Styela clava: one gene and its partners. The protein of the gene in region 3 purifies or fractionates together with the protein of the main gene of each other region. This does not show direct contact. Links are inferred from orthologs where the notes say so. Each region holds a gene or a part of one and is shown on either strand. Other genes may lie near its edges. The genes, in order: intraflagellar transport protein 27 homolog, intraflagellar transport protein 46 homolog and clusterin-associated protein 1-like.

What was found.
Region 1: the proteins of clusterin-associated protein 1-like (region 3) and intraflagellar transport protein 27 homolog purify together in Homo sapiens (affinity purification with mass spectrometry; 3 studies listed by BioGRID and IntAct, with this or other methods). This does not show direct contact. The link is inferred for Styela clava from reciprocal best matches to the Homo sapiens genes CLUAP1 and IFT27.
Region 2: the proteins of clusterin-associated protein 1-like (region 3) and intraflagellar transport protein 46 homolog purify together in Homo sapiens (affinity purification with mass spectrometry; 3 studies listed by BioGRID and IntAct, with this or other methods). This does not show direct contact. The link is inferred for Styela clava from reciprocal best matches to the Homo sapiens genes CLUAP1 and IFT46.

Annotation. Positions count from the first base shown.
Region 1 is NC_135255.1:20,075,658-20,079,202, reverse strand, and holds intraflagellar transport protein 27 homolog, read right to left. Parts: upstream 2,523-3,545; 5' UTR 2,414-2,522; coding exon 1,850-2,413; 3' UTR 612-1,849; downstream 1-611. Other genes in the region: uncharacterized protein LOC120328394, read left to right, coding at 29-79. UniProt on the Homo sapiens protein: Small GTPase-like component of the intraflagellar transport (IFT) complex B that promotes the exit of the BBSome complex from cilia via its interaction with ARL6. Not involved in entry of the BBSome complex into cilium. Prevents aggregation of GTP-free ARL6.
Region 2 is NC_135257.1:13,333,265-13,337,024, reverse strand, and holds intraflagellar transport protein 46 homolog, read right to left. Parts: upstream 2,883-3,760; 5' UTR 2,669-2,882; coding exon 1,607-2,668; 3' UTR 251-1,606; downstream 1-250. UniProt on the Homo sapiens protein: Forms part of a complex involved in intraflagellar transport (IFT), the bi-directional movement of particles required for the assembly, maintenance and functioning of primary cilia. May play a role in chondrocyte maturation and skeletogenesis.
Region 3 is NC_135250.1:18,041,620-18,045,379, reverse strand, and holds the start of clusterin-associated protein 1-like, read left to right. Parts: upstream 1-1,096; 5' UTR 1,097-1,164; coding exon 1,165-2,124; intron 2,125-2,561; coding exon 2,562-2,876; 3' UTR 2,877-3,760. UniProt on the Homo sapiens protein: Required for cilia biogenesis. Appears to function within the multiple intraflagellar transport complex B (IFT-B). Key regulator of hedgehog signaling.

The DNA of each region.
Region 1 (3,545 bases), on a different chromosome or scaffold from region 3:
AAATTCATGAATTTCAATATTTTTCCAGCGATGTGGAGCATCCTGATGAGCAATAGGAATACGCTCGCCAAACCACCGAGTAAGAGATGGGTTTTTTAATTGTAAAAATTCAAAGGAAAATCAAACAGTGACACTCTGGTACTCCCGAAGTATGTGTACCAGGTTTGGGTTCGGCCATAATTTTGTTCAGATTTTCCTTATTTTAGTTCTATTACGAGTTCGGGTACTATCTGTGTTAGACAAGTGAATAAACCCCCTATAGGTTTCAGTCTCTTTACACAACTTGAGGCAAAGTAGGCGAACAAAATCACGGTAGTTACCGCAATATTGGAACACACACTTCTGCAGCGCCAAAACTCTTACCCAAACAGGAAGGCAATCTGCAACAAACTCTTTATATGAATTTGAGCAAATGGATTCCTTATTTCCTGCAGACGAATTGTCTTCCAAACATTTGAAATATTTATCCCAGGAATTCCAGCATTTCCCCCGCTACTCAGCTGTTGGTGTAGGTCTGCCCATTGGGTATTTATCCTATATTATGTTTAATCCAGTTTTGATGTCTTAGACTTGAATGGCAAAATTTTAGCTATTACTACACTATTATAAATCTTTTATCTAAAAATATACATAAAAAATTATACAGTGAAATTCACACAATAATAAATTTACCAAAATACAGCACTACATAAAAATAAAGTACCGGTACCGTACTAGTATTTTTGTCCCACCACTAAGTTTCTGATCTGTTATTATGTTGTTGTTAGTATTTTTCTAGTTGTTTCGGAAAAATGGCTTTTCTCATTAACTACTTATACTCGAGTTACAAGTCATCAGTCAGTCATTCAAGTCTGAAGTTGGGTCAATAACTCAGCCCACTGACAGAAAATCGAGCCCAAGACATATCAATTATACGTCTTGAGTCACTTTTATGAACAGTGACTCTAATCCAACTCGAGTCAGGGCAATAACCCAGCACTGGCCAGAGAGAGCCGAATTTCATCCCCACAATTTCTAACTTATATTAACCTAACCTAAGATAAACAGAATTTGAGAAAAATAGAAATTTAGTGGTGGGACAACAGTATAGCACCTAATATTCTAACACAAAACAATACAAAGATTCCATAAAAATCCACAAATTATTTAGAAAAGACGAAAACAAAATTAGAACCTTCAAATATGAATTTGTACATGTAAAAAACAGCCAGATGTAGCCAATTATCCACCTAAGCTGCATAAATGATTAATACAAATATGAAAGTAAAATTATATACTGAGAAGGGTCATGTCCTACAGAGAACTTATTGAAGTTACAGTTTGATTTGGGAATGCAGGAGAGTTATGATGAATAATAGTTTGACCATCTCTTCTTTTTTACAGTTTTTCAAACATTGAAATGAGGGTATTTTGGTCAAGCATATTTTATAACTTAAACTTTTCAAAATTATTCCTAAATTCTATAATGCAATATAATAAATTGAGAGTTGACATTTATAGACAACTCCAACTAATCCAATTTTATTTCGGGGAAAGAATTTTACCAAAATGAATGTATTTTTCAGTTTAGTCCAACTCGACTTCATATTATTACGAATATAGTACTATATTATTATGCGCTTTATCAACAATACCAGTATTCCTTTAGGCAGGTATGCTTTGTTAATTCTAACCCAGAAAATAATAAAACAAAGAACCATAACAGTAAGAGCTTATTTTTTGTCATAAACGGTCAGAATAAAATAGTCTGAATGAGAATGGAGCTAGTGCTGTCTAGTTCCGGTTCATTGAACGTTTCGTATCAAAGTTGACACTATTAGTACTATTTACAAGTAATAGATATAAACAGTTATTCTAGCATTTGTACATTTTCTCGAGAGTCTTGATGATGGTCTGCAAACTTTTGAGCAAGATATTGAAAAGGTGCTTCAATTCCTTCATTGCCTTTTGCAGAAACTTCAAAGTACGTCATTCCCAATTGTTCGGCAAGTTCTTCACCTTCCTCTGTTGTCACCTGCCGCCTTAGGTCCAAATCCACTTTGTTACCGATGAGAACGCTCGGAATATTTTTTTCCGGGTTGATATGTTCTTTCATTTTATTCCGCCAGTTTTTCACACGGTTAAGCGACTCGATGTCCGTAACATCAAAAACAACAGCAAGCATTCCAATATCGTCCCAATGTTTTTCACAGATTTCAGAAAAAACATCTTTTCCAGCTGAATCGAACATAAAAATATCGACAAAATCACCACGTTCTCGAACAGGAATGACTTTTTGACAAACCTCGACTCCCGTAGTCATCGTGTAGTTTTTTGGAAACATCGTCCCATCGCTGTGAAAAACTTGTGTAATCGCACTTTTCCCGACAGTACAGTCACCAACAATGACACATTTTGCTCGTAGAACTCCCATTTTATTTTTTCCGTGGAAATTTTCAATCACCAATAGGTTTGATATTATTAGACACTAACTATATTACACAATATTAATTAAAATACTATTGTAATAATGCAAATGAAAAATATTTCAGTGCTGTGCATTTGAAAGACTGTGTGGGTCAATGCAGTAGGTATGTGGAGAGAATTAGTATGTGACGATAATAAGGCAATTAAATTACATTACTGGTATACCTAACAATGCTTTGCTTCTGTTTGTGAATGTATCTTTAATTTTCACATGGTGATGAATAAATTATACTAATTATGCTTACTTACAGTTATATATTTCAGATGCATGACGTAGCGTAGCATAAAATTTTTTTGACACAACCCCCACCTGACTATGCCATCCAAAAATTATGTCACTAAGACATAACAATCACGTCATAGAGCTTGTCAATTTCATGCACGATCGCCCGGAATGGCATTGATGCCGACGATAAAGAACTGACTAACGTCTGTGATCTCTCTCCTATCGGGATCGTTGCAAGAAGAAAACGAGAGAAATAGCTGTTTGAATGGCTTAGTCAGGTAGGGGTGACCGGTAAGAACTGACATGTCCATTCGGATCTGACCACCGTGGGGTGCGGACGTGTTGAACGATGGGATACTCTTTGATCTGGAACTCTGATCGCAAATCTATGTGGTACCGGCAATATTATTTAGAAGGAAACCTGGTATATGGAATGGACACAGGAAAAGATTTTATTCAATGTTCTTGATAAAAAAAGAATGGAATTCATATCGGAGCTACGTGTAAGGGCGACGTCTACAGACTTATCTGGGAATGTGATATCCTTAAAAGAAGCTTACGGTAATCATAAAGAAATAAAAGTTATCGAAGATCAGACAATATTCACAACTGGATTTTCAAGCGTTTGACAAAAAGAGATGTTAGTTAAGGATATTAGCCGACATGTCTGCATACTGAAATTTTGATTCGGTAAAACTGGTTAAAAAGAGGTAATTTAATGACTGACCATCATAGGCAAATGCTCGAGATTATGAATTTTTAAATGAAAACTTTGTGAAATTTAACCATTTCCTTAAAGTTTTAAACAAAAAGCAATGCCCGAAACTAGTTTTAGAGTTTTTAAATTTGTTTG
Region 2 (3,760 bases), on a different chromosome or scaffold from region 3:
GCACAAGAGGTTGGTGACGGTCCTACTTAATGTGTGATTATGAGAGCAATTTCACCTAATGTTTTGGGGAAGTAGTGCAAAAATCAGATGTATGGCGACGGTCCTACTTATTATAAGCCTGATTATAGAGCAATTTCACCTAATGTTTTGGGTAAGTGGTGCAAAAATCAGATGCATGACAAGTACACAAATGGCTATCCTTAACCATTTACCCTTCCGGTGGGAGAATTAAGTATAGTTAAAAACTTAAGTTCTTTTGCCATGTATTAGAAAAATAGCATGAAAATTTTACAAATCAGAGAGTTGTCAAATTGAGTATTTATTTGTGGGCCAGAGTGGTAGAGGTCTATATAAAGATGTTCATGATGACCCAGTCCGAGCATACCGCCAACGATTTGATTGAAAACATTTTACAATTACTTTTTATCGTAATCAAGACGGACTTGTGTGACGTGCCAATAAATAGATTTAAATTAGGGCTTATAAAATGTCTCAAATATTTTACAATTAGTATCGTATATTTCAACTTAGTCGAGATACTTTGTGCGGCCACAGCAAAAAATCCGAAAGCAAATTGTGTCGGAATTAATTGTTTTCATACTCACTTTCGATAGTGACCGAACATAACAGGAAATTTTTACATTGCTGCAATTTACAGCGAAGAAAATAGTTCTCAACTATTATTTAGTATCGGGGATTTTACGTTATCCCGTTGTCGTTGATGATAATATTGTTCAGTAGGCGGTTTTAATTTAGGAGCATAACAACTGACATGAAAGATTTGAATCAGCGCTTACTAAAAAATAAAACACGATTTTCAGTCCTAATTTTTTGTCATTAGCTGATGGAAATTGGGTTCACTCATTTAATTATGACAATGACTGCGTAATAACATTTGCGTTTTTCTGAATCAACGAATGGTGGAGCAAAATAAAATTTAAAGATCACGCTTGCACAACAATTAATTTTTGTGTAGAGGGATAACTGTGGCTGAATTTAGCTTAACTATGTTGGTGGAATAAATAACACATACGCTGACGATAAACAGTCAGAAGTTATAACAAAAGTGTGTGTGTTGTTATTAACTTTGATTTTTCTGTAGAATTCAAAACATTTCACTAGACGAATAGTTGCACTTTTTTCTGTGAATACCAAGATACACCACCATTCACAGGTGTGAATACTGTATGTTTATCATGTCTTTTTTTCTTAGAAGCAAGAAAACCACTAATTTCAATACTATCACACATTCCATTTGTGCTGCTTTACAATGATATTATTATCAGAAAAGTGAATAAAATATGAGGGGAACTTTAGAATGTATTCGAAATAGCAAAGTATTTAGTTATGGCCATCCCTGGAGAGAGAGTGGTAACAGTTATATTGAATTATTATGAAAGTCTGAAGTGAGAGATCATACATAACAGTGATGAACACTATCTAAAACATATATACACTTAGAAACATTCGATACAAAAATATACTATAAATCATGACTAAGTTACTAGCGCAGTTCAATGGGACAAATTTGAATGAATGTGTCACAGTAACTGTTTCCATAAGCTGCAAATGAAAAAAGGAGCACCTGATGCAGTATTATATGACATTAATCAAAAGTCATTACATCTGGCTCGTTCACATCATGATGTTCATTGGGACTAGCAGTTTGAAAGTGCTGGGAATTCTTGAACTCCATGTAGAGGCTGAATAAAACGTGAAGTGATTGCACTTTATTGCCTGGATATATGGGAATATCTAACACGGCGCATATCATGTCAATATATTTTTGTAAATCACAATCAAGATCTGCAGATGGTAGTCGAACCTTAGAAAGAAGAGCTTCAAATTCAGGAGGCCATTCCTGCATGAGTTGTTCAATATCTGGCATGCTTTTTGTGTAGTGTACATTTTGTGGAAGCTTTGTCCTACGTAAATCTTCTATACTTTCAATCCAGGATTCCACAGATTTGGGATTGGTTTGAGCATCTTTGAGACTACGAACTTGCATTGCCTTTATACCAGACATTTTTGAGATACTCCTCAACTGCAGATCAAGAACCGTAGGGTCTGATTGCTTTGCACATGGTTCATCTAATACAGTGAGTCCAAGTAAACTGGATGAATTGTCAGGTTTTGATACTTTTATGAATGCATCAATGTCACCGACCGCAGGAATGTATTCAGGTATAAATGGTTTTAATTTGTGCTCAAGCTCAATAGTTTGAGGTGTGTATCGAGTAATGTATTGGAACAAATCTTTTATCTCCACGCTTACATTCAAACCTTCATAATCTGCAGGATCATAAGCACCTTCTAGGGCTGTTCCATTTTCTTCATCACCAGAAGACGAGTCGCTGTCCTCTGAAGAATCTCCTTCGCTCATTGTTGATGTCCCAGACCTTGCTTGAGCTTGGGGATCAGCAACATCACCAGGAGAACCATCAGTGGCATCGTTATCTCCAAATTCATTTGATATTTGATCATCATCATCTTGTGATGACATCTTATTATATTTTGGCTTCTCAGGTCCCGGTTGCAGAAGCGGTGTTGGAGTCTTTCTTGGGCTAGGGCTATATAAACTGGCAATTTCTTCAGAATCGTTCACATCCAAGCTTTCGTCGTAATGCTGATTAACAACTAGTTTAGTGTTTTCGTCATTTGAAGCCATGTACCATGTTACGAACAAATAAATGAATCAAGACTGCTGAAAGTGTTTGTTCAGACAATAGTTTAAGGTATTGAGCAGTGCAGAAAACTTGTACTTTTGACTTTTAAATTTATTAGTGAATGCAATATAGAACACCAGGGTGTTACAAATTTCATTAAACACCAAATCGGACTATAGCCTAGCCTTATATTTTAAAATAAAAAACTTGGGCAGTGAAATTCACGGTTTCATTTAGCCGTTTAGGTACCAAAACATTCATCCCTTAATTTAGCTCGATACCTATTTCACTACAAACACATGAATTTACAAGGATTTTATTATCTGGATTCAATTTGACGACTTTGGTTAATATAAATTTAATAGAAACCCTGATTTTGATAAATGTAATACCATAGGTCTACAACTGGCAAAAGATTATTGTTTATCGCACTAAAATTATAATCAGCTACAACCCAGCAGCAATCACTTATCAACGCTCTCCCACGACTAGACGAATAAACGATGACCATAGCGTATACCGTATAGTCTACACTTAAAAACCGACAAATAAAACTGCGAAATCGAGTCGACGCTCACAAAAAGTTGTTTAAATCGAGACTTCGATGTTCTGATGTTAAAGCAAGAGTCCGGGAAGTGATGAATTTTTGATTGTTACGTCACCATTGTTGCGTGATAAACAAAGAAATGGGTTGATCGCGAAACATTTACATTCATAAACCCTTTCCACTAACATTATTTTTGTCGTTTACTAGTTTCTGAGTTTACAGATTCAAAGCATTTACAATATCTGTAGAGCGACAATAGCTTCGCAGTGGTGTCTTGGAGATGGACGAGATTAAGCAATGCGTATCACTACTTAAATGTAGCTGTTGAAAATACTTATACGCTCTAATGAACTCTCGTATTAACAATCTCTCAAAATCACACGTGTGCCCTTGTCACTTTGGTACTGTGCAGGTTATGAATATGTTTGGGATAGGCCCGCTGTTATGTGTACGGCGGTACGTGGATTAATGTCTGATATGTTAGGTTTTCGTGATCGTTCATAGACCCCATTTACAGTAATGGCGTTCGTTTGTAGGAACCAATCAT
Region 3 (3,760 bases):
ATGACTAAAAAGGTAGGTATCAGTAGTAGATGACTAAAAAGGTAGGTATCAGTAGTAAATAACTAAAAAGGTACCGGTAGGTATCAGTAGTAGATGACTAAAAAAGGGGGCTCCCGAAGTATGCGAACCGAGATGGCGGACATCGGAATGTAATATGTGTACTAGGTTAGGGTTAGGCCATAATTTTAGGTATAAATACTACGGGAGGCCCTTGGCTAGTCTTCGAACTGATAATAGGACTAAAATAAGGAAAATTGGAAAAAAATTATCGCCTAACCCTAACCTGTTACTGATACCTACCTTTTTAGTCATTTACTACTGATACCTACCTTTTTAGTCATTTACTACTGATACCTACCTTTTTAGTTATTTACTACTGATACCTACCTTTTAGTCATCTACTACTGATACCTACCTTTTTAGTCATCTACTACTGATACCTACCTTTTTAGTGAGTGATACCTATGATACCTACCTTTTTAGTGAGTGATACCTATGATACCTACCTTTTTAGTAGGGCCCAGTTAGGTAGCCTAGACATCTCACATCGGTACTGGTACCGTACATCTGCACATCAGTAGACTACATACAGGCATACGGCTGTACAGTAACTTACCGTACTATACTGATCTACAAATAAATACAGGTAGAGGGAGATAAATGATTATCATATTATAGAATCCTGGAATCAGGATCAGAGGATGTCAAACAAAACCTCCACGCATCCATCAGTCTGTCAGTCCATGCTGTCTCGAACACATGACAGTACCGTACCGTACGGTATAACTCGCTTACACATGACTGCATGATGAGGAGAGTCAGCATATAGTTCATAGTCTATATGCCTAAAGTTTCTCTGTTCTGTGCCACTTGTTGTGATATTTTACAGTTATAGGACGACTTGCAGACTTGGGTAATTTTCTTTATGTATCTTTGGAGGTGTAAGCAACCTGTTTTGGAGTTTACAGTGAGAATGCTTCAGATATTTTTTATCTATCACACCTGCCTCCTTCATCCTTTATCCAGTGAGCATAAGATGGTAACTTCATTTCCAATTTGTCTTGATTTATCTTAACTTTGTTTTTATATGACACAATGTTAAATTGTTTTTGCAGTGTAAATCATAATCTAGAACTTTTTAGGAAAGGTGCAAACATCAGAAATATGTCTTATCGTGATCTACGAAACTTCACTGAAATGATGAGGGCTCTTGGATACCCAAGAATGATTTCAATCGAAAATTTTAGAACGCCAAATTTCCCTCTAGTAGCCGAAATCTTACTATGGCTTGTACAAAGGTATGATCCAAATGTTACTCTACCCACAGACACTGATACTGAACAAGACAGAGTTATATTCATCAAATCTTCCTCACAATTTGTTGCTACGAAAGCTCATATTAAACTGAACACAAAAAGGCTTTACATGGCTGATGGGTATGCTGTGAAAGAACTTGTAAAGATAGCTAGCGTTTTATACAGTGCAATGAAATCGACACATTCATCTGATGGAAAAGAAAACGATTCTGGAGACGCATCATCTCTGTCTTTCGACATTGATTCAAAAATACAAGACTTAAAAGCTGTACGAAAACTCTCAACGGAAATTACTGAAAGAGGTGCTCTTTTGTATGACCTTTTGGGCAAAGAAATTGACTTGCGAGAAGCCAGATTGACAGCTTTAGCTCAGCCTTTGGAAATAAATGAAATTGAAAAAGGGCTGCGTATTAGTATTCAATCGGTTGAGAAAGAAGTACAAAAAACATTACACATGCTTGACAATATTGCTTCTGATGAAGTTAACCTAGAAGCCAAGATTGCAAAACGAAAAACCGAACTTGAAAGATCGCAAAAGAGACTTAAAACACTGGAAAGTGTGCGACCTGCATTTATGGATGAGTTCGAGCAACTAGAAGAAGATCTCAAAATACAATATGAATCTTACTTATATAAATTCCGGAATATGACTCATCTTGAACAGCAGTTGGAAGACTTGAAGGGACAAGAACAAATGAGAATGGAAGAAACTGAATCAACAATGAAAAAAATGCAAGATCGTTTGAGAGAAGAAGAAAAAAGAACAATCTTGAGCACAGTTGCAATGGATCAAATGGAGCAAGATATGGTATGTATGAAGTTTCGGATCAGATGTATATGATTTGTGATATGTAATTCTAAAAGAAAACAGCAACAAAAATGTTGGTGGTGTACTGGGTGAAATGTTATATAGAGTTAAAGACTGTTAACATAATATCTAGTTATTAATAAATACACTAATCAATTCAATAATACACAATATTCATATTGTGTACTAGAAATGTATATATACATAATTTCAACATCCCTAGTGGGTTTTAACACAAAGGAAAACTAATTTGCAAGCTGAATTCCATTTGGCATTTTGATCTTCTAATTTAACAGCATTTATAAAGAAAAACTTGATGCTCAAACTGTACAGTAGTCTGTTTTAGCCATTTATTCAACATGGAAATTTCTAAACAAGTTTGTTCAATTCAGTATCAATAGACATGTTTTGTTCTAACAATGTATTCAATATCTTAGGATGAGGGAGGAAGCGATTTGGAGGATAGTATGGAAGGAGAACGTCCAGCATACCATCAAACAAGCCGACCAAGCAGACCACCTGCTGGTGTGGGTCCAAGAAATAATATGTATGGTGATGAAGGGAGTGATGATGACGATGATGAAGAAACCTTGTCAAGCAGCAATCTGAGTGTTGTCGATGATAATGAGGATCTTACAGGAGACGATAGTGATGACTTCCTTGATGACATGGCAGGAGAAAGAGCGATTGGTGCAGGTGGCGACCCAAGACGTCATCATGATGTTATTGATGATGACGATGGGGAATTTTAAGCCTCCCACTACAATTCTTTCACGTACTCTTATCAGCATTGAATGCTTGATCTACTTTCGTAAAGAGAAAAAAAACAGAAGTGTATTAATCAACCTTTTTGTCATGATTTTTTTTGGAAATTTTTAGATTGTCACTTATATCAAACTCTGCTAGTTTCACTCAGTGGTAATATTTGTTCCATGTATATATATATATATTACACTGGTGAAGTGCTCAATATATGGTCTTTCGAATAACTTTTGTTTAAACTCTCTATGTCTGATGTAGTTGTGTAATTTTGTGTTGTAATTTTTTTACGTAACAGTAATAGGAAAAAAACTCATTGTCAAGAAATTCCCACCATTTTTGCACAATACCGGAATCTCTATTTAAAAGTCTTTATAGCTTTATTTGGACACAAGTGCACTCAGTACCTATGCTTCGTTTTTAATAATTGTCGCTGTTGGGGTTTTTAGGGCTGTTGCTGTTGTGAAAAAATAGCTATTATCTGCAACTAATGGACCAATCTGGTTCAGTTTTAAAAGATAGTACTTCTATAGTTTTTTTGTTCAATTATCTTTTGAATTGTAAGAAGACTCACTATGTATCCGAAATTTTTATAATTTTATAATTCATGGGCACGACGCTTTAATGTGATAATTAGTACAGCTTTAACGTTTGATCGCTCAAATTTAGCTGGCATTAGCCATGTTATGATATGACATGTAAATTTATTATTAAAGCATTGCTCTCCTGAATTTAAAAAGCAGAAGATAATTATGACAATTATGTAGTTAAAAGTGGCCAAAAGTATTAGTTGTGTAACTTGTGTACCTTAGTCATGTAATGAGCATTTCATTATAATATTCAATAATACTGTGTTGAGTGTTTGTTATATTTTGTA